Arabidopsis thaliana: one gene and its partners. The protein of the gene in region 2 purifies or fractionates together with the protein of the main gene of each other region. This does not show direct contact. Each region holds a gene or a part of one and is shown on either strand. Other genes may lie near its edges.

Evidence for each region.
Region 1: the proteins of RAPTOR1 (region 2) and AT1G48970 purify together in Arabidopsis thaliana (affinity purification with mass spectrometry, with the first as the bait; one large-scale study listed by BioGRID). This does not show direct contact.
Region 3: the proteins of RAPTOR1 (region 2) and AT1G05805 purify together in Arabidopsis thaliana (affinity purification with mass spectrometry, with the first as the bait; one large-scale study listed by BioGRID). This does not show direct contact.
Region 4: the proteins of RAPTOR1 (region 2) and AT4G17950 purify together in Arabidopsis thaliana (affinity purification with mass spectrometry, with the first as the bait; one large-scale study listed by BioGRID). This does not show direct contact.

Annotation. Positions count from the first base shown.
Region 1 is NC_003070.9:18,111,584-18,120,895, reverse strand, and holds AT1G48970 (NagB/RpiA/CoA transferase-like superfamily protein), read left to right. Parts: upstream 1-3,062; 5' UTR 3,063-3,348; coding exon 3,349-3,910; exon of another isoform or gene 3,911-5,084; coding exon 5,085-5,213; intron 5,214-5,307; coding exon 5,308-5,654; intron 5,655-5,794; coding exon 5,795-6,539; coding exon of another isoform or gene 6,540-6,622; coding exon 6,623-6,722; intron 6,723-6,810; coding exon 6,811-6,865; intron 6,866-6,965; coding exon 6,966-7,028; 3' UTR 7,029-7,182; downstream 7,183-9,312. Other genes in the region: AT1G48980 (2-oxoglutarate (2OG) and Fe(II)-dependent oxygenase superfamily protein), read right to left, coding at 385-517, 590-661, 798-1,111, 1,198-1,268, 1,350-1,664, 2,091-2,181; AT1G48960 (Adenine nucleotide alpha hydrolases-like superfamily protein), read right to left, coding at 7,346-7,466, 7,615-7,803, 7,907-8,028, 8,117-8,344.
Region 2 is NC_003074.8:2,690,669-2,698,016, reverse strand, and holds the start of RAPTOR1 (Regulatory-associated protein of TOR 1), read left to right. Parts: upstream 1-2,616; 5' UTR 2,617-3,105; coding exon 3,106-3,414; intron 3,415-3,778; coding exon 3,779-3,881; intron 3,882-3,992; coding exon 3,993-4,075; intron 4,076-4,154; coding exon 4,155-4,313; intron 4,314-4,404; coding exon 4,405-4,521; intron 4,522-4,632; coding exon 4,633-4,790; intron 4,791-5,354; coding exon 5,355-5,509; intron 5,510-5,606; coding exon 5,607-5,751; intron 5,752-5,836; coding exon 5,837-5,915; intron 5,916-6,000; coding exon 6,001-6,102; intron 6,103-6,303; coding exon 6,304-6,387; intron 6,388-6,490; coding exon 6,491-6,601; intron 6,602-6,945; coding exon 6,946-7,299; intron 7,300-7,348. Other genes in the region: PYD4 (PYRIMIDINE 4), read left to right, coding at 19-162, 256-435, 505-730, 813-926, 1,034-1,120, 1,220-1,263. UniProt on the Arabidopsis thaliana protein: Probable component of the plant TOR kinase pathway that recruits substrates for TOR. Modulates plant cell growth and regulates the activity of ATPK1 kinase in response to osmotic stress.
Region 3 is NC_003070.9:1,741,363-1,749,827, forward strand, and holds AT1G05805 (basic helix-loop-helix (bHLH) DNA-binding superfamily protein), read left to right. Parts: upstream 1-3,081; 5' UTR 3,082-3,480; coding exon 3,481-3,955; intron 3,956-4,847; coding exon 4,848-5,140; intron 5,141-5,398; coding exon 5,399-5,527; intron 5,528-5,673; coding exon 5,674-5,739; intron 5,740-5,830; coding exon 5,831-5,899; intron 5,900-6,008; coding exon 6,009-6,065; 3' UTR 6,066-6,372; downstream 6,373-8,465. Other genes in the region: DGL (alpha/beta-Hydrolases superfamily protein), read left to right, coding at 1-1,257; RABA5E (Rab GTPase-like A5A protein), read left to right, coding at 6,943-7,414, 7,666-7,988; SPPL5 (SIGNAL PEPTIDE PEPTIDASE-LIKE 5), read left to right, coding at 8,414-8,465.
Region 4 is NC_003075.7:9,966,220-9,973,580, forward strand, and holds AT4G17950 (AT hook motif DNA-binding family protein), read right to left. Parts: upstream 3,014-7,361; 5' UTR 2,789-3,013; coding exon 2,149-2,788; intron 2,042-2,148; coding exon 1,986-2,041; intron 1,909-1,985; coding exon 1,771-1,908; intron 1,645-1,770; coding exon 1,483-1,644; intron 1,400-1,482; coding exon 1,076-1,399; 3' UTR 560-1,075; downstream 1-559. Other genes in the region: AT4G17940 (Tetratricopeptide repeat (TPR)-like superfamily protein), read left to right, coding at 1-98, 174-346, 439-559; AT4G17960 (phospholipid hydroperoxide glutathione peroxidase), read left to right, coding at 4,935-5,159, 5,769-6,008. UniProt on the Arabidopsis thaliana protein: Transcription factor that specifically binds AT-rich DNA sequences related to the nuclear matrix attachment regions (MARs).

The DNA of each region.
Region 1 (9,312 bases), on a different chromosome or scaffold from region 2:
ATTGCATCACATGAAACCAAAGAAAAACAGAATCTATGTAGCTATCAAACTTTATATAATTTAGATCTACACCGAATTTAACCTTCAGTTGAAGTTTACGTGTGACGCAGGGACAAACTTTATATCAAACCATATTCAAAACAAAACAAACCATAAAAGTTTGTGTCTATGAGAAAGGAAAACATTACTACTCACAAAGCATACAGAAATGAATTTTGCCACTAATTTGTCAAATACTGAAAATTATTCTGGTTATCTAATTGCTAGAACGATAATTTTTTGTCACACCAGTTGAGCAACCATATGAACATCAAAAGAATTAATTATTTGCACTACATATAACCACTAATCAAACTGTAATATATATCAATTAAAGTTCAGGAACTAAAATACATGGTCAGAGGAGCCACAAGATTTCAGCTCGTATGTCAATGGCTGAATCCCTTGCAAATAAGGTTCTGGTGTGTACCAGACTGGCCATTTTGACTCATCCATTTTTCTAAATGTGATTGATATTCTGTGAATAAAAAGAAGACTCATGAATAAGAAAACAATGTTTATATGCAAAAGAAACGAATCAAGATTATACCTTTTCGTGGGAACTTCAGGTACACAATGCTTAGCTACATCAGCTCCATTCCCGTTTAACACAAGCACTGATCTGTAAAGAAGTTAAGTTTTTTTTTTTTTTTTTTTGGTCACATATACTGTTTTCAAGTTATAACGAGAATGTGACATAAAACATTTGCAAGCGCATATAAATATATAAGAACTTTTTTTATAGCACAAGAACTTACCCAACAGGAAGCGGTAATGAATATGAACCACCCGAATATTCACCGGTTTCCTCAACTTTAAGGTTTGATCCGAAGAGAATATTGCATTCACTAAGGAAAGAAACAGTACAGAACGGGCGGAGGAAGTCGTGATGGTCGATATGAGGAGGTATGCAATCACCTTCATCATAAATATTGACTACACAACAATCAGGAACACAAGTTGGAGGCAGAACATGCCATTTAACCAACCTTCTTATGATCACCTTGAAAAGATGAGGCAATGGATCAACAGTTTCATGTTTAAGAATCCCCGCCAGGTTTCCAGTTTTGCTCTACAAGTTTACTCATTCAGTTGTTGTGGCACTCACTAGAACTCATAAATCGAGAAGAAGATTGATCAAGAACTAGTTTTACTTACTGTACGGTAGTTGAAACAACAGCCGAATTGAATAGTTGAACGTCCTTTGCCTTGAGCAGTAAAAGCACGCTCTACATAGAGAGATATACAAATTAGGATTTCAGATCAAAACTATATAGAAGAAAGAACAAGGAATCTTAGCTGCTACTTACTTAGTTCTCCTTTTTGAACCTTTTCTTGCAATTCACACACTTTATCAACTATCCTTCTCTGTTCCGCTGCATTAAAAACTTCGGTATGCAATTCGAGTCCCTCTAGTATGTTAACAAGCTCTCCATTAACTTTCTCCAAGCAAACAAAGTCTCTTTTTCTCTTCACGTTTATCGCCCGAATATGCGTTCTTTGCTTCCTCGACAGTTTATGATTCTCAAGACTCGAACCAAAAGCCTCTCTACTTGAATCTTTATGATCCTCTTCCTCACTGAGCTCATCCTCCAATGTCATATGAGAAAAATCTACAGCAACTTCTGTTAAAGATCCTAATATTAATATCAGCGTCTTTCGAATTACTTGGCGAATGACCATCATAGACAATGCACATATATAATCATCAAATCATTTTGTTACTGGTTTTATTTTGAGTCTATAATAACCACCATTGAATATGAATCAATTTACTTAATCCTTTATACCAGCTTGATTAGTGCTACTACTAGCTACTATGCCATGATTCGTCATAAGAAACTCAAATCAAACGATGGATAATCTAAATCCCAATACAAAAAGCAGATAGTTGAATCCCACAATATTATAACTGGTCCTTTTAGAGTTCTATTTTTCCATGAAGAAAATAGTGTGATAAGAGAAATTATAAAGAAAATCTCTCTTTACACTACAAATTCCAAGTTACCATTAAAAAAAATATTCTGCTGAACCAACGGTTAAATCCTTACCTTGTTCTTGAGAGCGGATTCGTTTGGAGAGAAGGTTGACTTTTGAAGCGATCTCGAGTTCCGACTGCCGGATAAAAGAATAGTTGTCCATTGCACAATATATCAAACCTCATGTACGATACATTAATCCGTCTTCTACCGTTTGTTTTGGCGCTTATGATCAACGAATGTAATCTTGACTTTTGTTAGGTCGTTGAAGTCATCATATATTTCGTGTCTTACAAGCAAATTGAAGTTTTCTACATAGACTATAGTTTTGTGTGAATAAATTTATCACTTATCATTTGACCGAGTAATTCATCCAAGACTGAGTTTTGCAGGAATTTATAATTGATAGAGAGACTCTGTTTCATCCTGTTTTAACTCAAGTAATTGCCTTTTTCTAAAAAAAATGGTTGTAAAGTTAACAAAAATCCACGTCTCAGATTAAAATAACGTTTTATAAACCACATGTACCTTGCATAATATGTTGTCTGCTTGAATTTGTCTTTGCCAGTAGTTGAACATAATGAATAACAAAAAGTTGAAACAGTCGATGTTAGTATGTTACATATACTGGAATTAGAATTCAAAACAGCTGATTATTGCAAAATGAGTAGATAAATATAGGTGCTTCAAAATTAATAGAAAACAACGAGTTCGAAAGTAAATTCTTGGCATGATATGTAAATGATTGTGAAGTGATCCTTTTTGTGATTGTGCTGATGTATTGTAGTGTGAATTGTGTCTTTGAATTTGCGTTTAGATGTGTGTTTGTGTGTGTGTTATTTTTTTTTTTATGTATGAATTACGTTTGAGCGTGCTTAGTTTGTCTTGTGTTTTGTACTTTTACGACCTTCTGTTCCCTATTTTGTTTTTGAAAATATTGTTGTGACAAGTGTATTTTGTGTATTTGAATTGGCATTTAGATGTGTGTGTGTTTGAGTATGTTGTGTTTTTCTTGCGTTTTATGAAACCTTTTTTTTTTTTTTTTCAAAATCGCTTTTAATAGTACTAAAGAAAATTTGTTCAGACATTAATATTCTTATTTTTTTTATAATAAAGTTTACATAAAACTTAAATGATCGATTTGCATTTCTTTGGGTTAAATACTTTTTGTCACGTTATAAAAATCTTATTTTATCTCATAATAATGATTACTTGAAAACAAGGTTTAGGCCATTTAGCAAATCTCCCCACCGTTTTGGTCAATCCTTTGAATCTCTCCTAATAAAACCCTAAAAGATCATCATCATCATCGTCGTCGTCGTCCCGCTCAATGGATACTCGTCGCGGAGCTCTTGCGGTTCCTAAAGTCCGTCGAGTAGGTTTCTTCACATCAATCGAGCCGCCTCCAGAATCATCATTACAACGACCAAATCGAAGCCAATCCGGTCCAGTAGATGCAACCACCTCTTCTTCTCCTCTCTCCGATTCACCTTCCGGTAACTTAATTTCTCCGGTCTTAATTCCACCGTCGCGTCACCATTCCGACAATTTAACCTCTCGCGTTGCTGCTGCTGCTGCTGCTCCTGTGCCCGTCCCTGGACCTGCCGCTTTCCGCCGATACTTAACTCCTGAACGGACTCTTCTTCACGTTGGTAGTTACAATCCTCCGGATTCGCTTCTCGGGACATCATCACCCTCGAGTAACGGAGGGCTTTCTGAGGATTCGGCTTCTCTGTTTGGGTTCCAACGGAGTGATTCGACGAAATTATCAGCAAGCTTACCTAATGGAGGCTTTGATTTGACTCTAGCTGTTAGAGCTCCTCAGGAATCTGAAACCAAAATTGCGACCACGTCTGCTTCTCAAGGGAAAAAGAAGATCGCCGAAGTTTCTGGTATGTATACGAATCTATCAATCTATTTAAGTGTCTCTTGAATAAGCTCTTTGTATGGTTGAGTTTTGTATTATCCAAAAGAGACCTTTGTGGTGAATTGTGATCCCCAAGTAACATCGGATGAGGCAGCCTGTAGTGCCGTAGGGACTGGGTAGGCCCGGATATTAATATCTTCTTTGGAATACTCTGTTACTTGATCTCATGGAGAGTTTTAGGGAGACCTTATAGCGGTATTTGGAGAATGTTTAAAGTTGAGTTTGGTTTAGAAGTCTGGTGAGCAATTTCTGCCAATGTTGATAGTTCGACTCTTGACTTTGAAACAAAGAGGCGTGTTTTGAAGATAAAGCAGTCAGCTGTTGTGGACCTGTGGTCTGTGTGAAATGCATACGTTTGCGGAGGTGGTACAACATACTCCCAAATCAAGCACGTCAAGGAAGCTGCATCTCTATAATGGGTAGGAGCAGTTAGCCAGTTACTGTTTCAGAGGTGTTTAAATGTGAAGGATGAAATTGACTAGAGCTTCCCACCCAACAACGTGTCATCATTGACACTTCAATCTCTCTGAGCATTATGTTTCTTAGTTTCATAGTACATCAACCTTCGTATTCTTCATGTTAACTCATTTCTACAAAAGGACAATTCGCAGACAGACCGACAACAGGACATCGTTATCTTCAAAGCATAACTCTGTTCTTTGCTTCGTCACAAGCTATACCTTTTTCTCAAAGTTAGTTTTTAGGCAAGTCTTCAACATTGAACGAAATGCATCATCAAGTTTTGCTTCCGTACTGGACTGCCTACAAAATCCTCCTAAACTGTTGTTGCCATCATCGTCGAGGCTGGGAATTGGTCATCTATCTCTGTTTTAAACTGGATTGCCTGCCTTGGTCTTCTCTAACAACGAAATTGCCTTCACTGCATTGCCGGAGATTGGTTGTTAGACTCCTGAAGTACCCTCCTTGATCAGAGGCTTTGGGCTTCTCTGGAGGGGTTATTAAGCTCCCTTTCAAAGTGGACTATCCTTTAGAATTAGAATTTAAATAGCTACTTTGTGTTTAGTATCAACTTTGACCTTATGAATTGCTATGGGTTTGAGTCATTCAATTATTGCCATGCACAGATGTTTCCTTCTAGTTTTGCATTTCGTTACTTACAGGAAGAATAAATCCTGCAGGAAAGAGTGAGTCTGCGACCACAAAACCCCAGAAGGAAAAGGAACCAAAAGCATTGAAAGATAAAACCACTAAAGCAGAAAGACGTGCCATCCAAGAGGCACAACGGGCAGCAAAAGCTGCTGCAAAAGGTTCTTGTTTTGTTCATTATTTTTGCTTTGTTTTCCATATTCATTAAAGTGGAACGTAAAATCATCTAAGTGCTTCCCTCTTGCTAATTTTTAGGCGAAGGAAGCAGGCGTGCAGATGAGTCTGGTAGAGCTAATCCTGGCAAGGCTGCCATAAAGCCCCAACCAAAGAAAGAAAGACTTCCCGTCACGTCCTCTGTTTCTGAAAAAACAGCTGTAGCAGTAGAAAAAGAGAAGAGGATGGATGTCCCTCAGACACAAATGCAGTATGATGATAAAAGCCGAGTGGATAAAGCTAAGAGGCGAGCTGTGGTTGAACAGACCGAGAGCAAGAACAAAGTTGAATTATTTCTCCATCTTCCTCAATACGAACGCAGCAATCAGCTTCCCAATTTAAGCTCCAATTTTTTCACACTCGATTCCATACACCATGCAGTCTATAAGGTACACCTACTTGTTTATATGTGACTGTGAAATGTTCGTTACACTTTTGAACTGGAATCCTTAAGGGTTTGAAACCCTGTGGTTTATCTCTGTGCCATAGATCCTCAAGTGACGTATATACATGTTTTTGTTAATCTTAGGTGGGTTTGCAACATTTGGCTGGAGATATATCTGGGGACAATGCACGATGTATTGCCATGCTCCAAGCATTTCAAGAAGCTATAGAAGATTACAGTACACCTCCTATGAAAGACCTGACCATGGACTTGACAGCCAAGATAAACGGTTATGTTTCATTCTTGATAGAATGTCGTCCCCTCTCCATGAGCATGGGAAACGCAATCAGGTTCCTGAAGAACCAAATCAGAAAACTACCTGTAAACCTGTCAGAATCAGAGGCAAAAAGTTCCCTCTGTTCTGACATTGGCCGGTTCATAGACGAGAAGACAATTATTGCAGATAAGGCAATCGTGCAACACGCCGTAACAAAAATCAGAGACGGAGAAGTTCTTCTTACATATGGATTCTCTTGTGTGGTTGAAATGATTCTCCTATACGCCCATGAGATTGGGAAAAAGTTCCGCGTAGTGATTGTAGACTCACGCCCTAACCTTGAAGGGCAAAAGCTACTCCGTAGACTTGTGACTCGTGGCCTCGACTGTACCTACACTCATATAAATGCCATTTCCTACATCATGCGTGAGGCTACACGTGTTTTTCTCGGTGCTTCATCAATATACTCGAATGGAACTCTTTACGCAAGAGTTGGCACATCCTGCATTGCAATGGTTGCAAACGCATTTAGTGTTCCTGTAATTGTTTGTTGTGAAGCTTACAAGTTCCATGAAAGAGTCCTACTTGATTCAATCTGCTCCAACGAACTTGGTAAATGTTTCACTCGCTCTTCTTCTTGTCGATTATTCATTTACTTGAATCAGAGTTTTTTTGCCTGTGTGAAAAATTTACAGGCGATCCTGACGCCGTAGCCAACATACCATCATTTAGAACCAATGCAAAGCATTCAAAGACAATGGACAACAACAAAAACCTTCAGTTTCTGAATCTAATGTAAAGCGCTTCATAAGTGGTTTTGAGAATCATCACAAAGCTTTATTCTTATTTCTCTTAAGTTTGTTCTTATTTTTGTGTGTTCCAGGTATGATTCTACTCCTTCAGAATATATATCTATGATTGTTTCGGATTATGGAATGGTACGTATCTCTCACACATTTTGTTATGTTATGAGTTTGGTATGCAGAGCAATTTCCATTTAGTGTCTGATACATTTGTGATTTGTGTATGTGTGAATAGATTCCTCCGACGAGTATACCAGTGATTGTACGTGAATACAGGAGAGAAAACTTGTTGCTATAAAAAGGTAATGTGTTTAGAATATTAGCATACAAAATACAACAGATACAGTTTACGGAGGAGAGAAAAGCAAGTATTTAACATAAACAATCATTCTTTATATATTTTCTAATGATGAATTTTGCATTTTGACACTCATGGAAAAATTGTTTTCATTTATACCTTGATCGCTCGAACCAAATTTTTGGACGAGGGTTTGAAAAACTGTTCATTGTTTAAGAATAATGTGATTGGAATGACTTTCTTTTTAGTATCGAGTAAAATTTGTTTATTTGAAGGTAAAGTTTTGGTGGGTTTGTCTCAAAAGCAAATATCGTAGACTATGAACCGACACCGTATTGGTCTTTGGATCTCCTCCGGGGCCTTGTTCTCCATAGTATGGCATGAGGACTCGGACATAATCTGTATGGCACTTTAGTTGGTGTCGGAATCTCAGGAACCCTGTTTCAATCAAAGTTTCATTTTTTTTAATCAGCACTATGAAATGTTTCTATCCAAAATATCAAACTAAAAAAAAAAAACTATTTCACCAAATCACGTAGTTTTAATTAAAAATAGACTTGATAACAAAAGAGGTTAGGAATCTTACTGTAATCCAGAAATTTCAATTTGTGAAAAGTCAAAATTAGTTAAACAATCTGAAGTCGCTGTCGCCGTCGCCTTAGAGGTCTTGTGTCCCTTAACCTTCACCGGAGGCGAAAGTTCCGGTGAAGGCTGCTTTATAGCCATCACTTTGCAATTGAAATTTCTCGCTACATCGATCCCACTTATTGCCCATCTACACATCACAAAGACACACAAAGTCACAAACATTACTCATTCGTCTATGTAGGGTTCAAAATCTTTAATAATGACCCCGTATCGATCAAAATAGTTCCTACCTGTAAAGAAAGCTGTTCTGATGGAGACCAACGAGAAGCATCGAAGCACCAATCTCTTTGACAACTTGAGCAATCATTCTTCCATCATCATCTCCTTCTCTCACAATGATCTCAGTATTCGTCTGTCAAAATTACGATCACAAAGGAAAAACAAACCTAACCATCAATAAAATCTAGTAATCTTTCCGATCAAGATTCATTTCCACTCACGTTGAAGAAAGAGTCGCAGATTTCACGGAAAGAGAGAGCAAGATTGTATCCGTGACGGCGGAGGAGACGCGCCGCCGTGGATTTCTTCTTACGCGGTGGAGGAGAGTACACGTGGAGGAGTACTATGACGTCACCTTGACGGAGGAGGTTGTGAAGTGCCCATTGTAACGCCGTCCTCGCCGCTTGTTTATCTTCTACGACCACCACAATCCTCCGTACATCTTCCATTTATTTATTCTCTCTTTCTCTTTCTTTTTCTCGAGAATTGGGTTTAGGTTTAGTGTCGTAATTCTTGTGACTCACTCTCTCTCTCTCTCTCAATATGTGTTGTATTTGTAAATAATAGTATAAAATGGAATTTCTTTGTAGTTGGAAATAAATTAAAAGTGGGTCAAATGTGAAGTTGAGTATGAAATCATGGACCGTGTTTTTTTGTTATTAGGATAAAGTGGTGAATATGTATGTATTGCATTGCATCTTACACTGTTAGGCAATAACTTGATTTTAGTCTTTTACCATTTATATTTGAACATGGGTTTCTTACTATCACCTTAGGAATCATTGTTCTGATTAATAATTTGCTTTATGAAATAGTACTTGAAAAGGTCATTATGACGGTTTTTTAAGAAAAATATTGTCATTGCAATTGCAAGTTTTTTTAGTTCATGTTAGTATTACACTATTAATAATGGAAACCATAATCAGTAGATAGAGATACATTAAATGCAATTTGAAAAACCGAACATGAATATTATTGGTCGTGTTGGTGCTAAACCCGCGTCTATTAAAGTATGATTCATTACAATCACATCTAGTCATCTAGAAAACAATCAAAATCGTTAATAAATTGACACTTTTTATTATTAGATAGGTGTAATTGGTACGGTAGATGAAGAAAAAATCTTAATAACAATTAAGCACTGTGTGAGAACAGTTTCTACTTGCGCGAGCAATTACCATGTTTGGTAGGACACAAATTTTCAACACGAATTAGAATGTGTCAATTTAGGAAAAGAAAAAAAAACGAATGTAAGATGTAAACTATTATTAACAAAGATTTCATGGAGATATAAAGAATTTAAACAAAATCAAGGGGTCAAAACCTAAACATACAGAAGTTTTAAAAGTCTAATAATATGACAACGCGCTAAGATCCGAACACGTGTCAAGTGAAAGACTTGGTAAACTCGAAAAGG
Region 2 (7,348 bases):
GCATCATCTCTGTAACAGAGTGGAGTTCATCACGCCATAAATCCAGATCCTTACAGAGGAATATTTGGATCCGACGGTGAAAAGTACGCGAGTGATGTACACGATCTTATCCAATTCGGAACGTCCGGTCAAGTCGCCGGTTTCATTGGCGAATCAATCCAGGCGAGATTAATTTGTACTTATTTCTTATATCAAAAAGGTATTTATGATTATGATAATGAATATGCATGTAATGTAGTCTATATCCTGTAACAGGGTGTTGGAGGAATCGTAGAGCTTGCTCCCGGATACTTACCGGCGGCTTACGACATCGTGAGGAAAGCCGGAGGAGTTTGCATCGCCGATGAAGTCCAATCCGGTTTTGCTCGTACCGGAACCCATTTCTGGGGGTTTCAATCCCATGGTGTTATCCCTGACATCGTCACCATGGCCAAGGTTCATCATTATCATGATTCATGCATCGTTATCAATTTATCATCATCAATTCTAATTTGGATTTTGCAGGGGATCGGTAACGGTATACCACTTGGAGCGGTTGTGACGACACCGGAGATTGCCGGCGTTTTAAGCCGTCGGAGTTACTTTAATACTTTCGGCGGAAATCCAATGTGCACGGCCGCAGGACACGCAGTACTTAGAGTCCTTCACGAAGAGAAGCTCCAAGAGAATGCTAACCTCGTTGGCTCACATCTTAAACGTAGACTTACGCTACTCAAAAACAAATACGAACGTGAGTTACTTCTTGTCCAAATTAAAATCAATTTTAAAATTTTTCTTTATTGAATATCTTATCCTTTCTCTAATTTGTTTAGTCATTGGAGACGTGAGAGGGAGAGGATTGATGCTAGGAGTTGAGTTTGTCAAAGACCGCGACTTAAAAACTCCTGCAAAAGCAGAGACCCTTCATTTAATGGATCAAATGAAAGGTTAGTTGTGTTCAATCCTAAACCAAGTGAAATTGATCACTCTCATCATATAAAGTTGATACTTATGCATTTAAGATAGTGTTTAATACAAATCTTTTGGTATCAAGAAATGGGAGTGTTGGTGGGGAAAGGTGGATTCTATGGGAATGTCTTCAGAATCACTCCTCCTCTCTGCTTCACCCTCTCCGACGCTGGTTAGCTCCTTAGTTTAACATATATATCTTCAAATTGGTTTCTTTTTGTTTCATTTTTTTATTCATGATTTATGTTGTTTCAAATCTTGTATTTTGTAGATTTCCTCGTGGATGTGATGGATCACGCCATGTCCAAGATGTGATTTACTATCTTTATCCGTTCTCTAATGATCACTCACCCTTGTATGTGTATATAAATAACACAATACATCATAAAGTAGAATTACAATTGGTGTTTACCGAAATATATCACAGATGCAAGTATATGTAACTAAATGTACAGTACTGTATACACTTGATAGAATCTACAAATAAATAAAAAACTCGCTGCTAATGATATTCCACAAATACATATATTGATCCGAAGTTTCGAGTTTAGAGTAAAACTTGAATGATACACCTGTGGGGCAAAACAGTTGGTCATCAAAGACGAGGAAGTGGTAGAAATGGCGGCGCCGCGGCGGAGTAGGAAAACGATGTCCGGAGAGCTGTCCTGATCGCGGAAACGAGACTCGTCAGCACGAATATAAGTTCTTCAAGTATGCATAGTGTCTTTCTTATCATCGAATCTTCTTGTTTTCTCGATGCGAGATTCCCAAGTGAGAGAGAGGGAGTTGTGATATTTTTCTGCTGACTTTTAGATATATATGGCCTTTGATAATGTTATTCAGACAAACAAAGTGTCAGCTTGATGTTTGTGTCCAAAATTGATAATATAATGGAATAATTGCAAAACGGAACCTGAAGTTTTGATTAACATGGAATTTGAACCCAATATTTTTTCCCTACACCAAATTTTTAGTTTTTCGGTTTTCATTTTTTTACCAACTACAATAAACCCTAGATGAATTCGGTTTAGAAGACCAGACATTGCTATGTAAGAGTAGAAAAACCGTTGGTGTTTAGATTACACTAATTTAAACGTTATAACACAAAACTGATTAAAACATAAATATACTTATGAAGCGTGTGCAATGATGATCCCTTCATGTACCCCGTTGTACGGAATCCTAGAGGTGATTCGAAGAATTTATGGTAACTCACGTAACAAAGTGTCAGCTAAGTAATTTATGGTTACGAAAATACAATTGTCTCGTTTAAAAAAAAATTAATATAGTTTTAAAAAATCTAATATCGTTTTTAAATTTAATATCATTTCTCTGTTACTAGTTTAGTAGCTTGAATTTTTGTTTTCGTAATTAAACTAGACTGATTTTTTAAATTTAGATTTAGACCGTGATTAGAATAAAAGTGAGTTTTAAGTTGCATTTTAATCAAAGAATCAGATTGAATTTGCGATTAACTTCTCAGTTAATTAGTCGATCCATTGATGGTGTTCTTTGAATTTGTTTCTCAATGATGCATACAAAATTTCAATTTCCACATTTTAAACATAAATTAATTTTAAAATTATAGATATTTAGTATACCTCTCAATCTTATAATATTAGTATTTAATAACATTGCATTAAAGTTAGTAATTAATTAGAGTGGATTTTTGATCTGAAGAGGGTAAAACTAAAAACGGAAAGGAGAAAAAGAATGAAAGAGAAGTGGAAAGAAAACGCAAATGCATTGAAGACTTTCCCTTTGTCTCTCTCTTTGACAAAATCCCAATTTTCGCATCCTCACTTTCTCCTCTGCCTTTTTTTTTTCTCTTCTGCCGCCACCACCACCACCACTGTTAATTCGCCGCCGCTTCCACATCAATCGCCGTCGTAGCCAATCATCATCGTTCTTCATCCTCCGCTTCTCCTGATTCTTAGGGTTTCCGCTTCCGCTTCTCTGTCGAGGGTTTTTCGAGCTGGATTCTCTGCTCCTGCGCCGCTGGTGCAGCGGCTTTGTTGATTGATCTGGATTTCTCCGTCTTCCTTTCTATTTTATTTTCTGTATCTCGCACAATCCAAACAAAAAAGCTAGGGCTGAGGATTTGATTTGCGTGATTTCTGGGGGTGTGTTAATTCGGGGGTGTGTTCTCCGATTTGGATGGCATTAGGAGACTTAATGGTGTCTCGGTTCTCGCAATCTTCTGTTTCTTTGGTCTCCAATCACCGTTACGACGAAGACTGTGTCTCTAGTCACGATGACGGTGATTCCCGGAGGAAGGATTCTGAGGCTAAGAGCAGTAGTAGCTACGGGAATGGTACAACGGAGGGAGCCGCCACCGCCACCAGCATGGCTTACTTGCCTCAGACTATTGTGCTCTGCGAGCTTAGACACGACGCATCCGAGGCTTCTGCTCCCTTGGGGACTTCTGAGATCGTATTGGTCCCCAAATGGCGGCTTAAAGAACGAGTAAGTTTTCAATCGAACATTGTTGGTAGCTGCAAGTATGTTAGACTAGCTTGTTTAGTGCAACTGACGATGTAAGAGGCGGGTAGAACAACTACATTTTCTAGAATTCATTATAAAATCTGCTATTGTTCGCTACTATGTTAGGTAATGTTAACCGAGGAGGGTTGTGTACTTGTGTTAACGTTTTTATTGTGGAGCTGAACCTTAAAGATACATGTTTCCGTTTCGTTTCAATCTCAATGTCTCTTCAGAAATAATTCTATTTCTCGTCGGAAGCTAAATCAGGTGTTCATTGGATCTGATAGCTAGGGGAGTTCTTGCAAGTCTCATATTCTTTGTTAACTTTTCTTCTTCTTCTTTGCAGATGAAAACAGGATGTGTAGCTTTAGTTCTGTGTTTAAACATTACTGTTGATCCGCCGGATGTTATAAAGATATCTCCTTGTGCTAGAATCGAGGCATGGATAGGTTGAAACTTTGGCCTACTCAATCCTATTACACTCTTTCTTTTCTGTGTTTATCCCTTTTTTTTGTCGCCACAGTCAATTTTATCTCTATTTTTTTTCTTTCTGATGGCAGATCCATTTTCTATGGCACCGCCTAAAGCTCTCGAGACAATTGGAAAAAATTTGAGCACTCAGTATGAGAGATGGCAACCCAGGGTGACAATTTTTTTCCCTGCACCCTATCATTATTGTTTTGTTAAGTTACGCTTTTCTTATTTATTTTATGATTTCTCAGGCCCGCTATAAGGTTCAGCTTGATCCGACAGTAGATGAGGTGAGGAAGCTGTGCTTGACTTGTCGGAAATATGCAAAGACCGAGAGAGTTCTATTCCATTATAATGGGCATGGTGTGCCAAAACCTACAGCTAATGGTGAAATTTGGGTATTTAACAAGGTCTGTTTTTTACTAGCGTTTTCTTTTCTCTACCATGTTCTTGTTCCTTCTCGTCTGTTACCACGAGCTGATTGATTCTCTGTTTGAGCAGAGTTATACACAGTACATTCCCTTGCCAATCAGTGAACTTGATTCCTGGTTGAAGACACCCTCCATCTATGTTTTCGACTGCTCTGCTGCTAGGATGATTCTGAATGCCTTTGCTGAGGTAAAGGAAACAACCACTTCACTTATAGAACACATCTCCTGTCGAGTTTAGGACTCGAGTCTGTAATTTTCGTTCCATAAGTTGATAAAATTCATATACTCTTTACGCCAGCTTCATGATTGGGGTTCTTCTGGTTCCTCTGGATCCTCAAGGGACTGCATTCTACTTGCTGCTTGTGATGTACATGAGACACTTCCTCAGAGCGTTGAGTTTCCAGCTGATGTTTTTACGTCTTGCCTGACAACGCCCATTAAAATGGCGTTGAAATGGTAAATCATCATTCCATCTCTGACTTTTTTTGCGTACTCAGATGTCATGTTTTCTTCCTACAAAATGTAGTTTAAGTTCCGTCTAGCTAAGTTTATAAAATCTTAGCTAGTATGTTCTCGCTTCATCATGAGGTAAGATCAAAACTTTTCGGCAGCATTTTGGATGGGACCAAAGATGGATCATAGAGTTTTGTTTAGAAGACCTTGTGCGTATGTTTTAGTTTTGTGGGGTGGTAAAACAGCATATCATAAGAGTTGTGAGATAACCAGGACTGATAATACCTTTAGCTGCCAAGTCACTTTGCATATGGAAGTTTGCTGATGTATGGTTTGCAATAATTCTTTCTGTCCTGGCTAAGTATTTTTGATGATACCAAAAGATTCACGATATCATCCTGATTGATAGCCTTCTCCTTCTGTGATATTTATTCTATAACTAATTGCTACTGAGTCTGTGCGGTTTCAATTCTGGGCTTCTTTTTAACCTTTTTCCAGTAAACAGATCACCATTTTATGTAGTTCAGTTTAGCTTGCAGCTTTTTCACAAGAGGATTTCCATTGCAGGTTCTGCAGGCGTTCGCTTCTGAAAGAAATTATCGATGAATCACTTATCGACAGGATTCCAGGCCGGCAAAACGATCGTAAGACATTGTTAGGGGAGTTGAACTGGATTTTCACAGCAGTGACGGATACAATTGCTTGGAATGTGCTTCCTCATGGTACTTCTCCAAACTTTCTGCATAATTTATCAAGGGTAAATCTTCTTCAAGTTGACTTCTTTTCTGTGTCCTCATGAATGATAGTTTTACCCTGCAGAACTTTTCCAGAGATTATTCAGACAGGACTTGTTGGTCGCTAGCCTTTTCCGGAATTTCTTACTTGCTGAGAGAATAATGCGGTCCGCAAACTGTAATCCAATATCTCACCCTATGCTGCCTCCTACGCATCAACATCATATGTGGTATTCAACAAGAACCATATTCTTCTGTTATGTAAAATGTTATGTGTCTAGATTTTGACTCAGCTATCCGTTGCATGCTTTTCAGGGATGCATGGGACATGGCTGCTGAAATCTGTCTTTCTCAGCTTCCCCAACTTGTTCTGGACCCAAGCACAGAGTTCCAGGTTTGTTTTGTTTTGTATAGTTTCCTGCAATTGTATACGACGGCGCTTGTTTTGCTTATAAAACGTGTTCCTATCCTTTTTCTAGCCAAGTCCGTTTTTTACTGAGCAACTGACAGCTTTTGAGGTGTGGCTTGATCATGGATCTGAGCATAAGAAGCCACCGGAGCAGTTACCTATTGTTCTTCAGGTGCCTAGATTTCTGTACTTATTTTCCCTTTTGCTGAGAGAGAGAGGGAGAGAGAGATTCATATTCATTTGCCATTTTCTCACTCTGGGTTTTGTGTGGATATGGCTTAGGAACATTCTTTGGCTTCCTTCAGGACGTTCTATCATAATTTTGTTTGCATATTGCCATTTTAGCGTATTTATAGAATCTGGTTTGTTTCAGGTGTTACTTAGCCAGTGCCATCGGTTTCGTGCTCTTGTACTTCTTGGAAGATTTCTTGATATGGGTTCATGGGCTGTGGATCTGGTATACTTCTTTAAATTTTAATTTCTCTCTCCCTTTGGCTTACACAGAGTTTCTCCTTTTTATCATGTATATGTCTTTACACGTGAAGTGAACATTCTTCTAGGCCTTGTCTGTTGGAATATTCCCATATGTGCTGAAGCTTCTGCAAACAACAACGAATGAGCTAAGACAGATCCTGGTTTTCATATGGACAAAAATTCTTGCACTTGACAAGGTAAATATCTGATGTTCCATGAGCTATTTTTTGGGAGGAAGATGGTGGTTTGCCATGCCTCTTTTTGTTATTCTACAAATTGTGCTAGTTCTTTCTGTGGTTTTCTGTGCACCTGTTGTTTATTGAGTGTGGACCTTGATGGAAAAACAATTTGTGTTTTGTTCTGACATGAATTCTGAATGAACATATATTTACCACCTAATATTTCTCTACATTTTTTTATATCATATCCTTGGACATCGGATCAAGTTGCTTACCTATGGCCGTCACACTTTCAAGATGCATAAGTTTTCTCGTTTCATTCTTGGATTATTCCAACATTGACTGGTCTCTTTTGTTTTCAGTCATGTCAAATTGATCTTGTGAAGGATGGGGGGCATACATACTTCATACGATTTCTAGATAGCTCGGGTGCATTTCCAGAACAACGAGCTATGGCTGCTTTTGTTCTGGCTGTCATTGTGGATGGACATCGACGAGGCCAGGAAGCATGTCTTGAAGCTAATTTAATTGGTGTTTGTCTCGGGCACCTTGAAGCATCCAGACCAAGTGATCCACAACCAGAACCATTGTTTCTACAATGGCTTTGTCTTTGTCTTGGAAAGTTATGGGAAGATTTTATGGAGGCCCAAATAATGGGCAGGGAGGCAAATGCTTTTGAAAAGTTGGCACCTCTGCTTTCCGAGCCCCAACCTGAGGTGAAGTTCAGATTTCTGTATAACGTCCTTCGTGTAGAAGTGTACGTTC
Region 3 (8,465 bases), on a different chromosome or scaffold from region 2:
TCTTCTCCACTCTCTCTTCCTTCTTCTTCTTCTTCTCAGGCCATTCCTCCTTCTCGAGCACCTGCAGTGACTCTACCGTTGTCTCGGGTTTGGAGAGAGATACAAGGGAGCAATAACTGGGAAAATCTCATTGAACCTCTAAGCCCTATTCTCCAACAAGAGATCACTCGCTACGGGAACTTACTCTCCGCTTCTTACAAAGGGTTTGATCTAAACCCTAACTCCAAACGTTACTTGAGTTGCAAGTATGGAAAAAAGAACTTGCTTAAAGAATCCGGAATCCATGACCCTGATGGCTACCAAGTCACCAAGTATATCTACGCCACACCAGACATCAACCTCAACCCTATCAAGAACGAGCCTAACCGTGCACGTTGGATCGGTTATGTAGCGGTTTCTTCTGATGAATCGGTGAAACGTTTGGGAAGGAGGGATATTTTGGTGACGTTTCGTGGCACTGTCACCAACCATGAGTGGTTAGCTAACCTAAAGAGCTCTTTGACTCCGGCTAGGCTTGATCCTCATAACCCTCGTCCTGATGTCAAGGTCGAATCCGGGTTCTTAGGTTTATACACATCCGGTGAGAGCGAGAGCAAATTCGGGCTAGAAAGCTGCCGTGAGCAGCTTCTCTCCGAGATCTCGAGGCTTATGAACAAGCACAAAGGCGAGGAAATAAGCATAACACTTGCGGGACATAGTATGGGGAGTTCTCTAGCTCAGCTTCTAGCTTACGACATAGCGGAACTCGGTATGAACCAGAGAAGGGACGAAAAACCTGTTCCGGTGACCGTGTTTTCGTTTGCTGGTCCTAGAGTTGGTAACTTGGGGTTCAAAAAACGGTGTGAGGAGCTAGGAGTTAAAGTCTTGAGGATCACGAATGTAAACGATCCGATCACCAAACTTCCAGGTTTCTTATTTAATGAGAATTTCAGATCTTTAGGTGGTGTTTACGAGCTTCCTTGGAGCTGTTCTTGCTACACTCACGTGGGAGTCGAACTCACCCTCGATTTCTTCGATGTTCAAAACATTTCTTGTGTCCATGACCTCGAGACTTACATCACTCTAGTAAACCGTCCGAGATGCTCGAAATTGGCGGTTAATGAAGACAATTTTGGCGGCGAGTTTTTGAACAGAACAAGTGAACTGATGTTCAGTAAGGGACGACGTCAAGCGTTGCATTTTACAAACGCAGCGACCAATGCGGCATATCTACTTTGTTCTATATCCAACCATATGTTGTATTATAATATATTTTAGGTCTAGATTGATCCAAGCTAAAATTTTGGATTCTTTTTTAAGATAGGACAAAATAATTATTGCCCTATCTTTTACGTAGCATAAGAAATGTACATATATAGATGTATATGCAAAACCTAATACAAAAAAGTATATTTTCCACATCCAAGATAAATTATTGCGTCTCATCTATCACAATGTGAACAAAAATAATTATTTTCTTCTCTTAGTTACTATGAGTTCACAATATAATACTTTTCTTTAGGTTAAAGCTCTCAACTGTTGATGAAGTACAAGAACTCAAAATTGTGAATGAAAAAAAGGGACATCATCCAATATCAGGCGTGTACATATTAGCATTGTTGTGTATCTTTTTATATTATAGTCCATTAGTCCTAATCGATAGATGTATTTTTTTTTGTTTTATTAGTTATAAAAACAGACATCTATTATTAATTTGTTATGGTTAATTGGTTATTGTATATTATTATAGTAGAAGTGACGTGAGGTACCAACGTATTAGATTATAAATATAAATAATGGCCAAAGACAAAGCCATTTGTCAAAACTTCAACGTCATTATAACCTGTAAGATTAAAAATGAACAATAAGAAATCATATTTAGCAAAAAAAAAAAAAAAAAACAATAAGAATCATTTGTCAAATCTTCAACATCGTTACAGTGTATAATTTATATTTTGATTTTTTGTTCTAAATGATCAAAGTTCATATATAAAGTTATTTATATGCTCAAATTTAATCATCGAATATATATACAATTTGTCTATGTTATTTGTCAAAGACAACGTCAGCAATAGTTCCATATACTCTCTTTTTCTTTCGGAGTCTTTATATTACTCACGGAGATATTAAATTATATTTATTTTTTCACTGAGATATTTTTTTTTTTTTGGTTTAATGTTAATAAACTCACTGAGATATTAATTAATACATGCAATCTTTATCTATATTTCCCATTTTTATTTGTAAATGTGTCCCTTCTCGTGTTATGCGAGGGTCTTTTTTTAACTTTTTAATTTCTCATTTGGAAGCTTTCATCTATAAATATATGCACTAGCTTATTCTATATATAACATAAAACCGAAAAAAGGTTTTGTTCACGATGTGGATTCTCTGTTCACGAGAGGTTTTGTTGAAAAAGAAAGAAAGAAAATAATTCAACTTGAATTTGGAAGTTTGGTTACAGATCACATCATTCGACAATAAAAATAAAGACATATATAACAATTAGAACAGTAACTAATTTGAATTTCAGCTTCGATTTCTTACGAATCACATGGGGTCAATAAGGGTGGGGCTAGAAAAACACGTACGTTTGGAGACCAATGTGTGTATCATTCCTGCATGCGCATCAGATGTGTTTCACTCTTCAGAAAAACGTTTATTTTATTTTGCATGTCACAGTCGTAGCTAATTATCCGTACGCATCTTAATTACGACTCCATTTTACACACCAATTTATGGATATATAATTCAGACAAGATGAGTTCTCGTTTAATTTTACTTCTTTCCATTTGTGGAAGTTCATATACTATTGTGAAAATTTGAAAATAACTGGTGAAAGAGGAAACGTCCATATTTGTGGGCTCTATTTATAATAATAACAACAATATTAATTGTTTAGGTAAAAATTAACAGAACTATTTTGAATTACAATCGGAAAAAGGTTTGCGTCAAAAAAGTATTGATGAACCATGCATTTGATATAAGCATTTATGTTTGTTCAATTTACTATTAAGCAATTAAGTCGAATTTTATCGAATCATTTTAATTTTTACCTTTAACATTTCTGTGATCTTGAAATCTTTAAATTAACAATGTGAGTTATATACACTAGAGAAAAATAATTGCATTCCACTGAAAACCTCAACATCTTGGGAAATTTAAACTTAATCAAAGACATCGCAAATGTTGCTTATCTTTTTATCAAGCCCAGCCCACATATTCGCGGCCCCAAAGCCCAAAGGTTAAGCTGACTCGTTACAAAATAAATAAGTATTAATAAAGGTTTTTGATTGGCTTATTTCGGTTTAAATTTAATACCATATCTTTCGGAAGATCACGTGAGACACATGTGACATCCAACGAATAGCCAATCGCTGAAAAGTGAAGACTTTTTGTTACCCCATAAACAAAAGCATCATCTCTCTCTCATCTTTTATTTTTCTTTTAGAAACCAAACTTTTCAGATTTCTCTCTCTCCATTTGGCGATAGAAGAAGTCATGTACCAATCATCATCCTCCACGTCATCATCATCGCAGAGATCATCGCTTCCCGGCGGCGGAGGACTGATCCGTTACGGCTCAGCTCCGGGATCGTTTCTAAACTCTGTGGTTGACGAAGTCATCGGAGGAGGCTCATCAAACGCTCGTGACTTCACCGGCTATCAACCGTCGTCGGATAACTTCATCGGTAACTTTTTCACCGGAGCTGCTGACTCATCCTCGCTGAGATCCGATTCGACGACTTGTGGAGTCAACAACTCATCCGACGGACAGAAACAGCTAGGCAATAACAATAATAATAATAGTAATAAAGATATCTTCCTCGACAGATCCTACGGTGGATTCAACGAGATCTCGCAACAACACAAGAGCAACGACATCGGAGGAGGAAACAGCTCAGGATCTTACTCTCTCGCTAGACAACGTAGCTCTCCCGCCGATTTCTTCACCTACCTCGCCTCAGATAAAAACAGTTAGTCCTTTTTTTACTCAAGAATAGTAACTGTGATGAGATATATATATTTAGACAGACAAGTTTACTCATTTTCAGACCATTTTTCCTTAGAATTTGCCAAAAATCGTAATGTAGAATATGAGCTATATAGTTTTCAGTCATTCAATCATTCATTGCTCAACTAAAGATCCGTTTTTTGGTGAAATGAAAATCTAACCACGAGGGTATTTTCGGTATTTCTCACTGTGAAGTATCTAGTTTCTTACAAGTTAATTAACGACTATGTATATAAAATAAGTTGACATTGTGAGCTTTGATATTTAGGGTCGTTGCTAAATTAGCTTGGTTGGTACTTGTGCAAGACGTGATCCTCGTATTTTCGGAATGACGAAAATACCATTTGATCCCTAACCACGTGCTTGAAAATACAGCAAAAATGTGGCTCGGTTACCCTTAATTTGGGATATTATTTAAATCTTCGAGGATTCCTATATCTCAAGTTGCATTTATTTATTTAGAGGATGGATTTTTTCGTTGATGACCAATAGTTTCTCTGCTGAGATGGCGAAATATCATTGGTTGTGATGAAGATTATTCAAATAGAAAGCGATGTAGATCTAGTTGGTGGATCTGATCTGTCCACTTTTATATTATTTTTTCCTTGGTCCTGATGATTCGTGCTTTGCTTCGTTGTTATCTAATCATAATATCTTCCACCAAGCCTGGATGTGACTTCCCACACCTAACCGGTCACCGGCCTGAACCGGAATTCAACTATCCATATTATCCAAAAATCCCTCTTTATTTACTTACATTATATGGTTTCTAATATTTTGGATGTGAATGTGAATTATTTTTAAAAATAATTTTCACGTAATGTCATTATAATATAGTTTACTTTGTAAATCAGATTTCTCGTTGAACCAACCAACCAGTGATTATAGTCCGCAAGGAGGGTCTAATGGGGGACGAGGACATTCCAGATTGAAGTCTCAGCTAAGCTTCACGAATCACGACTCTCTGGCTCGGATCAACGAGGTCAATGAGACCCCAGTCCACGACGGTTCAGGCCATTCGTTTTCTGCGGCTAGCTTTGGTGCAGCCACTACTGATTCTTGGGATGACGGTTCCGGTTCGATAGGGTTTACCGTGACTAGGCCCAGTAAACGATCCAAGGACATGGACTCTGGTCTCTTTTCGCAGGTACAATTTATTTGTTTCCATGTGGGATTCCTTTTTTTTTTTCTTCATGTGTTATTACTATAAACATGCTACTTTAGTCAAATTATATGAAATTTCAAAATTTCTAGAAAAGGACAAAAAAATGTAAAATATTTGTTTTAGGATAGACATAAAAAAAAAAATTAACTAGTAAAGGTAAATGCAGCAAAACTCTTTAGTGGCCATACATTTTTGTTGGTGGCCAATTCTTACCGAATATTTTTATCACTGGTTTTGCAGTATAGTCTTCCTTCAGACACTTCAATGAACTACATGGATAACTTCATGCAGCTTCCAGAAGATTCTGTACCCTGCAAAATCCGGGCCAAACGCGGCTGCGCCACCCATCCTAGAAGCATCGCTGAGCGGGTCAGTTATAAACACTTTTTAATTTATTTAGCGATGGATAATTAATTCACTAAATTTAGCAACAAATTTGATCGTCCCTAATCATGTAGACCCTATTCTTTTTGCCATCCTCCTATCTTAACCTATACAATATGTTTATATTATAGGAGAGGAGAACGAGAATAAGTGGGAAGCTAAAGAAGCTACAAGATCTTGTCCCCAACATGGATAAGGTTACTTTATATCAAATATATATAGTATATATGGTAACATCATTTTGAAAAAGTGTTCATTACCTCACACACTTGTTGCTGATTTTCTTAGCAAACAAGCTATTCAGACATGCTGGATTTAGCTGTACAACACATCAAAGGCCTTCAGCATCAACTTCAGGTTCCCTTATCTTACTTTTTCTGTTTAGGTCAGCTGAATCCATTTCCAGAGTTCTCTCTAGTTCATGATCCATATTGATACATAAACACATTTTCATATACAAACGCAGAATTTGAAAAAAGATCAAGAGAATTGCACGTGTGGGTGCAGTGAGAAACCAAGCTAGCTCAAACCCAAAGGTAGGGTCATCCTAATTTTATTTGCATTGTTCCGATTTTATCATATGAGAGAATTAGAGAAGATGTAAATAAAATAGATTATATTAAATGTCTAATCCTCTTATAATTAAGCTCCTCATTCGTTATCATTATAAGATAGAACAGTGACAATTGTCCATTATGTTTTTGTTTCAAGTTTATGTTTTGAGTGTCGCCTATTTTGTAAGGATTATGCTATGAATTCTGAAACTAATTCGAGTTATGATCATAAGCAAAGCAAGCTAGCATCCATTATATATATGACTTTCTAATTTGATCTCTCTTTTCTTTATACTTCTTCATAAATAGTTCCTGAATTGAATATTGAAATTAAAGGTACGCTAATTTTTCTTATTTTTAAAATTGAAGAAATGGACCAAATACCAAAGTTACTTGAACCAATGAAAACATTAATAAGCAGAATTCACGTACCAAAGACCAAAGTGAATCTCGTTGATCATATAATGAATTATGATATATTTAGTAGTAGTTAGAAACATGCAAATAGATATAGGTTGATATGAAAATTGGCATAAAATGTATGAACCGGAATACTATTAGTAGCATTAACTTTCCTATTATTAACAAAACTAGCGTGTATGCACGTTACAGAGAAAGATTTATTCTTTATTAGAGATGAAATTTCTTTAGTTATACATACACTTTGGTTTTGTAAGTTAAAAAAATATAACTCCCTCCTACGTTACCAAGAAGTCCACCAACGTGGTGGATTTTAAAATAACTAACCAAAAACACAAATCAGGGAAAAGTCGTAAATTAAAACTGATAATTTGGAGGAAAATATAGAAAAAGAAAAAGGTAACGACATTAAAGAAGGTGCACTTAATGCGCAGTATGTCCTCTTGTGCCAGCTTGTTGCACCGTCTTCCGTCTCCTCCTCTTTCCCTCTCTCTCTCTCTCCAAACCAGTCCTACTTCTCTCTCTAGAAACCTAGGGAAGAAGAAGAAGACGGTGAAGCGAGCGATGTCTTCGGACGACGAAGGAAGAGAGGAGTATCTCTTCAAGATTGTTGTTATCGGCGACTCTGCCGTCGGTAAATCTAATCTTCTATCTCGTTACGCACGTAACGAGTTCAGCGCTAACTCCAAGGCGACGATCGGAGTCGAGTTTCAGACGCAGAGCATGGAGATTGAAGGTAAAGAGGTCAAGGCTCAGATTTGGGACACTGCTGGTCAGGAGCGTTTCCGTGCCGTCACTTCCGCTTATTACCGTGGCGCTGTCGGTGCCCTCGTCGTTTACGACATTACCCGCCGCACCACTTTCGAAAGCGTTGGACGTTGGCTCGATGAGCTTAAGAGTAAGTCTCGATGTGAATTATGCGATTGACTATCGATTTAGGGGATCCTCATGATCTAATTAGGTCGTACGGATTGACTTAGAATTGGGAAATTTTGAATCTAGTTTTGGTAGATTATAGAATTTGTGACCTAGCTAGAACATAACAGAGGATTATTCAAGAACCGCTTAGGAAAGTATCTCATAATGAACATCTTTAGATTGGTCTGAGATCTAAAATTGATTCATTTGCTCTTTTCTTGGTTGTTTCAGTCCATTCGGATACGACGGTGGCGAGAATGCTGGTGGGGAACAAGTGTGATCTAGAAAACATAAGAGCAGTGAGCGTGGAGGAAGGAAAGGCTCTAGCCGAAGAGGAAGGACTCTTCTTTGTGGAAACATCGGCTCTTGATTCGACTAATGTTAAAACAGCTTTCGAGATGGTGATACTTGATATCTACAATAACGTGAGCCGTAAGCAACTCAACTCAGATACTTATAAAGACGAACTCACCGTGAATCGGGTAAGTCTTGTTAAGGATGATAACTCTGCCTCCAAACAAAGCTCTGGTTTCTCTTGTTGTTCTTCCACTTGATGATATACCACACCAAAATAATCCTTTTTTATTTCTCACAACTGTAACTTTATTATATAAATTTTTGTTTTTTTCTTTGACTCATGGAAGAAAAGAAATTCATGAACTGTAATTTATTTGGTCACATTAATTTTCCTTTTATAATTTTGGCAAACATTCAAAAGATCTATTCATTCTACTTGGGTTATTTCCTATTTTAAAGAAACTAAATTTGATTGGTTGGTTTTGTGATTTTTGTCATTATTTGGGAAAAGCGAGGGAAAATAAATCCAAATAGGGGAAGAAAAAAAGAGATGGCTTTTCACCGAGTTTTCTCTGCTTTTGTAACAACGAACATGAACCAAGAATAATCTTTTCTTTCCCTTTTTTTGTTTGTCCCACAATTCTTCAAATTTTCTTCTCTCTATCTAATTCTCACGGTGGCGATGTCTTTACCTCCGTTTACTTGCCGCCTTCTCGCGGCGGCGGCGGCTCTCT
Region 4 (7,361 bases), on a different chromosome or scaffold from region 2:
AAGATAAGAGCAAGATCGGTGATTATTATCGAGAGATGTTGAGATCTAATCCTAATAATTCGCTTCTTCTGATGAATTACGGCAAGTTTTTGTATGAGGTTAGTGATTTTTAGAAGCTGAATTTGAGTTTTGGGAATTGGAGATTAGGTTTTGATTTGGGATTGAATCTTCAGGTGGAGAAAGATGCAGAGGGAGCTGAAGAGTACTATGGAAGAGCAATACTGGAGAATCCAGGAGATGGAGAAGCTTTATCCATGTATGGAAGATTGATATGGGAAACGAAGAGAGATGAGAAGAGAGCTCAAGGTTACTTTGATCAAGCTGTTAATGCTTCTCCTAATGATTGGTATAATTTGTATACTTTGATTACTTTTACTAATCCCAAATTAATTTTCTTTACTTTGAATCTAAAATGTTTGTGTTGTTGTAACTTTGTAGTATGGTTTTGGGATCATATGCACGTTTCATGTGGGAGGCAGAGGATGATGATGATGATGATGAAGAAGAAGAAGAAGAAGAATGGATGGCTGCATCACCACTCATGGTTTCTGCAGTTTAGAGACTAACACGACGAAGATGAAGAAGAAGTAATGGAGACTAAGATTATGTATCAAGTATCAACCTTTTTTTTGTCTATTTCACTGTCTTTTTACTAACTTTTGTTGTAATAACCTGAAGAGTAATGAAAACATGTATGTGAAAGAAAACGAATGTAACCTTATTATAAGAGAATAAAAGTGCTTTTGTATAGTTTAGAATTTCGTTGTTTAGAATCAGAATTAAAGTGGATAATTCGTTGAATATAGGAGAAAAAGAACAAGTCTTTATGATCATCACAATCAAAAGAAACTACTAAGAAACAAACTAAACAAGATTGAATTTGAAACCTACTTAACATGTCTCTCTCTCTCTATTTATCTAAAACCAAAGCTAAATTTAAGAGAAATAGTAAAGGAGAAGAAGATGAGAGAGTAAGAGAGCTCAATCTACTTTATAGAGATAAATCTGATGGAGAGATGTGTCAAAAGGAACAGAGAAGCAAACCCGGTCAAATCTTGACCCATGAACCATCTGTTTATTGAGGACTGTTGCCAGGCCAGAGATTCTGGTACATCTGCATAGGAATTTGGTGAAGCGGTTGAGGTGTAGAGTTTCCAAATATCCCATGATTGTTGCTGTTGTTGTTGTTGCTTCTACGGTGCAACGGAGAATTACTTTCGTTTTCCTCTGATGACTCGCTCGAGTGTTGTTGTCCTTGAGATCGAGGGCTTCCCGGTCCACCAACACCACCAAAGCTCAACATATTGGCTGGTGCTGAAGCTGGCTCCGGAGTATTCTGAGCACGCCCCGCACTTTGTTTCTGCTTCCTTCCATCTGGTACAAAGCTTCCCACAATGACCTATATAAAAACCCCAATCAAAGTCAGTATCTTGAATACTTTCTGATCTTAACTCAAGTGTAAAGGTTAAGAATTTGACAAACCTGGACTTGTGATCCAGCTACTAGCATTCCATCAACACATCCACCCACAATCCGGCCTTCGTGTCCAGCCAGCGACACACTCAAGTTACCAGTTTTGGTCACAGTACCATTACTCTCAGAATTCAAGAAAGAACCTGACAGAGAAATGATTTCAAATCGGCCCTGAAACAACAACACATCCAATACAGCTCAATACAAGATTTAAATTCCAGCTCCATTCGATAACAACAGAGCTCAAAATGAGGCCAAGAAGCAAGCAATGCACAAAGCACATGAGTAATTTTATACCTCATACTTAACAGTTCCAGTAGGATTGCTATTGTTAGCTTGACGAAGCATCACATTAGTTACAGCTCCTGTAGCTGAGAGAATACAGATTGCGCGTGGCCCTTGGTTCGTAAACGCCAATATCTTCGTAGCTATGTCCTGAATACAATGAAAGATCATAACTTTAACCAAAGAAACAAATTGAAGATTAAAGATTTGCTACATCAACACATTACCTCTCCTGTTTTAACCTCAATGACATGAGGCGTGAACCCAACTCCTCCTGTTCCTCCTGCTCACACACACACACAGAGGACAAAACCCATTAAGTAAAATTGTAAAACAGTGAATTTGATTTGATAAGAGAAAGAGAGAGAGAGATAGAGATAGATCCTGTACCTAAAGCATCGAGCTGCTTCTTACCGGAGCCAGGAGGACGTCCTCTGTTCCGTTTAGCAGGTGGATCGGAAGAGTTAGCATTAGCTCCGGCGCTATCACCACCACCACCTCCTTCATTTCCACCACCGTAAGAATTAGAAGCAGAAGGAAGAGGCGAAGTAGGAGCCAAACCAAGAGCAATGTTACTACCACCACCACCACCACCACCACCATCAGCAGCATACTTCCTAGGTCTACCTCGTTTCTTCTTAACCTGTTGATGGTCGATCCCAAATCTCATCGAATGTTGTTGAGTGGCGGCAACAGAAGAAGGCGATCCATCAAATCCAAGAGATTCAAGAGTCTTCTGATCTATCTGTTGCTGAGGCTGAGGATGATGATACTGATGTTGTTGAGGCTGATGCGGTGACATAGAACCACCAAAAGGTAATCTTTGATGCATAGCTTGAGATGTGGAGGTGTTGTGACCCATTAAAACAGCGGCGGCGGCGTTAGGGTTTCGATTGTAGGAATTGTGGTGACTCATTAACATCCCTGGCGGTGGTTGTTGCTGTTGTTGTAGATGTTGCTGTTGTTGCTGCTGCTGCTGTTGTTGTTGTTGTTGTTGCTGTTGTTGGTGGTGGATCTCTCTGGAATCCATTGGAGGTGGAGAAAAGTATGAATCTTTGTGAATTTAGGGTAATTTTCTTGGAGACCCACTTTTCTGTTTTACGAATGCCGAGAAAATAGACGAGAAAGTGCAGGTTTTTGAGTTTTAAGCGAAAGCGTGTGAGCTAGCTAACAACTCTCTCTCTCTCTCTCTCTCTCTCTCTCTCTCTCTCTCTCTCTCTCTCTCTCTCTCTCTCTCTCTCTCTCTCTCTTTCTTGAGTTCTTTCATCAGACGAGGGACGATCTAGTTAGTGTCTAATTTTTTTATTTTTTTTTTGTGTTTTTGAAGATTTTTAATTATATAAATAAAAGAAGAAATTGAGGAAACAAATCTTTGGTTTATGGTTTTCAGTTTTCAGGAGATTAAGTTTTGTTTTTGTTTTCTTTAATATTGATGAATTTAACTTTTAAAATATAATATAATTAGGGTTTTGTTAAAATGTGAATGAAATAAAGAGTTTGTGTCTTTAATAATGATGATGTTCAGTCCAGTTATAGTTTCTAGTTGTAATCTAATGTAAATGGTTTGGTGTTCTCTCCTTTAACACTAGTTCTGTTTTAATAAATGGTTTTCAATTTTTTTGGGGTTTTTCACATAATTTCCATTGTTGCATTGAATGAACCAAGTTTGGTTATTGGAAGAGAAATCAAACCGGAATGAGACATTGAAGTTTAATAAAATATTAGGAGGTTATTTTAGTTCAGTGTCTTTTTAGAAAATCTCTAAAATGCAAACAAATGCACAAGAATTAATAAGAGAATAATATATCAAATAAATTATTATGTAAACTAAAGATTTTGGTTTGACTGTGTTTGGGAAATGCAAAAATAATAAAGATGGGGTTTGTACTTTGATGTGTCAGATTTTTTTTCTTAAGTATATCCTTCAGATCTTAAAAACAATCACTAGTTTGAAAATGACAGCAGCTTATTTTGACTATTTTGTCCTTCTATTGCCTATCTTTTTAAGAAAAATCTATCATTCAGAATTCAGAATACTGTTGTATATACTCTCTATAGATTCCAAATTAATTGACAAACTCAAGTTACTAATTTTTAATGCTACTATATCACATAGATAAAGACCCACTGGAGTTGGAATAGAATGTAGCAACCAAATATTTAATATATGCAACTTTAGAATCCAAAACAAAAATCTGTGTAAAGGAACAAAAGTGTATATTTTAATTGGTTATGTACTCTTCTCCCATACTTGTTCACGAGAAAATGGAATTTACCGATTAGATTTTTTTTTGTATCCCGGTTTAATCCAAAGGATAAAATATGTGATGTGTATCCGGTTTTGTTGGAGATGATAATCAATGTAAAAGACTAAAAGTACTAAACTTTTTATGTCTAGGTAGCGACTAAAGTGATTGACTTTAGTAGACCAACAAGCAATAAAAAGCAAATGTTATCAACAGTTTACGCCATGCGCGTACCTTAAGAAACTGGACACGTAAAACCAGATGCTGTGAAAAATTAGTACCTGAACATAGAAATATTTCGAGACAGATAACGAATGTTTTTCTTTTAAAGTACTTTAGAGTTTATCATATGATTCAAGTCACCTGAAAGATCCATAATCTCTATTATCACTTGGTGCTGCAAGGCTGCAACACATAAGAGTGTTGCATTGAAAAATGAAAACACTTACGGAAACTAATGAACTTGGAAGCAATTGACCAAAAGTATAATTATTGGTCAGGTGGGCTTTTATTAATGGGCTTAACTCTCACTAATGTAGCCCACTAGTGAAATGTAATTGTGGTAAATAAGAATTTACCGCTCGTTAATGGAGAAGAAGAAGGGTTAGATTTGGAAAGTAGAGAAATGAGCAAAAGCAAGAAGAAGAAGATTCTCTCTTTGATCCACTTTCCTCCATTGTCGTCGCAGAGAGAGTGGAGATATTCGGATTCAGTTTATGAAGTAGAACTTGGGTCTAAAGGATTCAGTTTCATAAACCCTAATAAGTATCTGTTGTCTGATTAACTTATAGGAAAGATCATTTTTTTTTTTGTTTCTCTTAGTGACGGATTGGTCTAGAAACTAGTATGCAAATTGTAGCTTCTGGGAGAGAAAGTTTGTATTTTTAGTAACGGATTTATTTTGGGAGAGTTTGATTTGTAAGGATTAGGATGGGTTTTTTCAAGAAATTAGCTGGTGTGTTTGGATTTGGCCAGGAAGTATTGAAAAATGAGGAAGATGATATTGATGTTTACGGTGACGGAGGTAATCAGCAGAGATTTCGTGAAACTGGATTACCAAGGAAAGGATTTGGAGTTCCGGTTCAAGTTGCTGTCGAAAGGTCTCAACTTGGTCCTCTTCTTCAGCCTTGCGCCAATGGAGATGGTGGTATTCAGGTTTGGGATTCCTGTGCTGGAACGGTTGCTATAGTGGTTGATTGCTTTATACGGAAGTGTGGATTCTAGTTAGTTAGATTAGCTTAGGAACATCATACATTGGGTTTGAGATTGATTAGTAAGTTCCATTAAAGATTCCTCATTCTTTAGTTCTACTTTAGCTGTTAGTAATCATGGTTCATGTGCTACATAGTCCTCAGCTTGACTCTCTTAGCATAGTGTACAAAATTGATTTCGATACTCTCTGTTCTTGCTTTAGCATTATTGAGGTTTTGAGTTAGATGTTCTCATGAGTAGTAACAGTTAGATGCAATAAAGAAAATGAGTAGAAGTAAGTTCACCAATATGGCTTACCTTAACTTTCTATGTAGTAGAAGCGTAACTATAATCATTGCCTCTAAACTGGTTTCACATTGTCTTTTCTTTGACATTAGACAACGACTCTGTATCACTTCTGTTTATATTTTTACTCCTGTGGTTCCTCCAGTTAGCTGTTACTTTATTTCTAATGTTAGACTAGTGAATTTTTCTTAGTTAAGAGCTTGCATATCTTCTTGGATATTGGTTCTGTCACAAGCTGTATTATAGCTCTCTCTTGTGTTGAACCAGGGACTGAGATGGTACACAAAACGGCTAAGGGTTGATGAAGATGGAGATGTTGCAGATGAGTTTTTGGAAGAAGGAGAGAAATCGACTAACGCAGAAGATGATCATAACTGTATTAAGACTATGCCAAGATTCCAAATTAAACGCAAAACGAAGCCTGTAAAAGTAAGAGGACTAGTTGTGTCTTCTGATGGGAAACTCCAGCAATGCATTGAACATCAAGGAAGGTTATTTATAGTATGAATTGTTTTTGAACACAGAGAAGATTAGGACAGGTTTTTGTTTTATCAGAAACTCCGGATTGAATGTGTAAAGAGGGAAGCAAAAAGCAAATAGAGTTGCAGTCTTGCAGACATATTAGCGAGAAATGGCAATGATCAGTTTAGCTTTGTTTGTGTCTGTGAACTCTATATTTTGGCTTATCGAATCTGTACAAACTGATTTGATTCATCAAATTTGTTTTTGGGTTATTAGTGTTTGATGTTTGGTGTAGATTATAGTTTTTTTGAAAAAACTTGAATAATAATTTGGTGTAGATTTTGCAAAAAAGAAACTCCATAGGATTTGGTTTTTGTTCAATAATTGGTAAAGATTTGTAAAATCTAGATATCAACGGCAATAAAGGGTTTATGTACTTGAACAGTTGGTAAGTAGACACTAGAGCAAAGAACAGGGAGAAAATATTGGCGTGCTTTGCCCAACGATGGCCTCTATATCGAGCGAGATCACAAAGGAGCCAGCCCAAACCAAACAAAGAGAGCAAGGTGAGCAGGTCGAATGTATCCTCCATATCCATCTTTTGCGGATGAGCGACCAATGGAACGGTGATGTGATTTTGTCGAAAGGTAGGCTTTGGAGAATGGGAGAACAAGCCTAGTACAAACGCGCCAAAAATTTCATGGACCGTGCAAAAAGAATCTCGTTCCAAGTAGCATTTGTTTCCATTGGAACCATTTGAATGCCGTTGTGATGTACTTTTGAGATGATCCGTTTCTTCTTCCTTTTTAAAAAAAATGCATTGAGCATTTGAGCATCAAAGACGATTACTTATAGTATAAATGATTTGGAACACAAGAGAGGCTATGAAAGGTTTTTGTTTCATCAGCATTTCAAAATATTGGTATCAAACCATATAAGAATACATGTTGTTGTGATACATTATCGAAGTACTAGACTATGCAATGAGACTTGGTTTTTCGTCCTTGAGCCAAAAATAATAATGACTAGCTTTATAATTTGACAATCACAATTAGTTTTGAGATACTCTACTGGACTTTGTAATTTGTATTACTACGATGATCTTTGTGTGTGTATACATAATAATAATATGATCAACCTTTTTGGTTTAAACATGAATCCAAGTTTCTTTTTTGATATCTGTATTGGTAATATTTTCCTGCCACGTGTGGAGGTCTCACAAGAGCCACATGGACAAGACACGAGAAATCTGAAATCTCAAAAACTCAACAACACGAGAACAGCTGTTCTGTTGCTTAGGAAGATCTATTACCTCTAACCACAACACTACAAAGAGAGTACTAGTTAATTAGTTTAATTTACTGGATTTTTCTAATAATTTCTATTGATATTCGAATG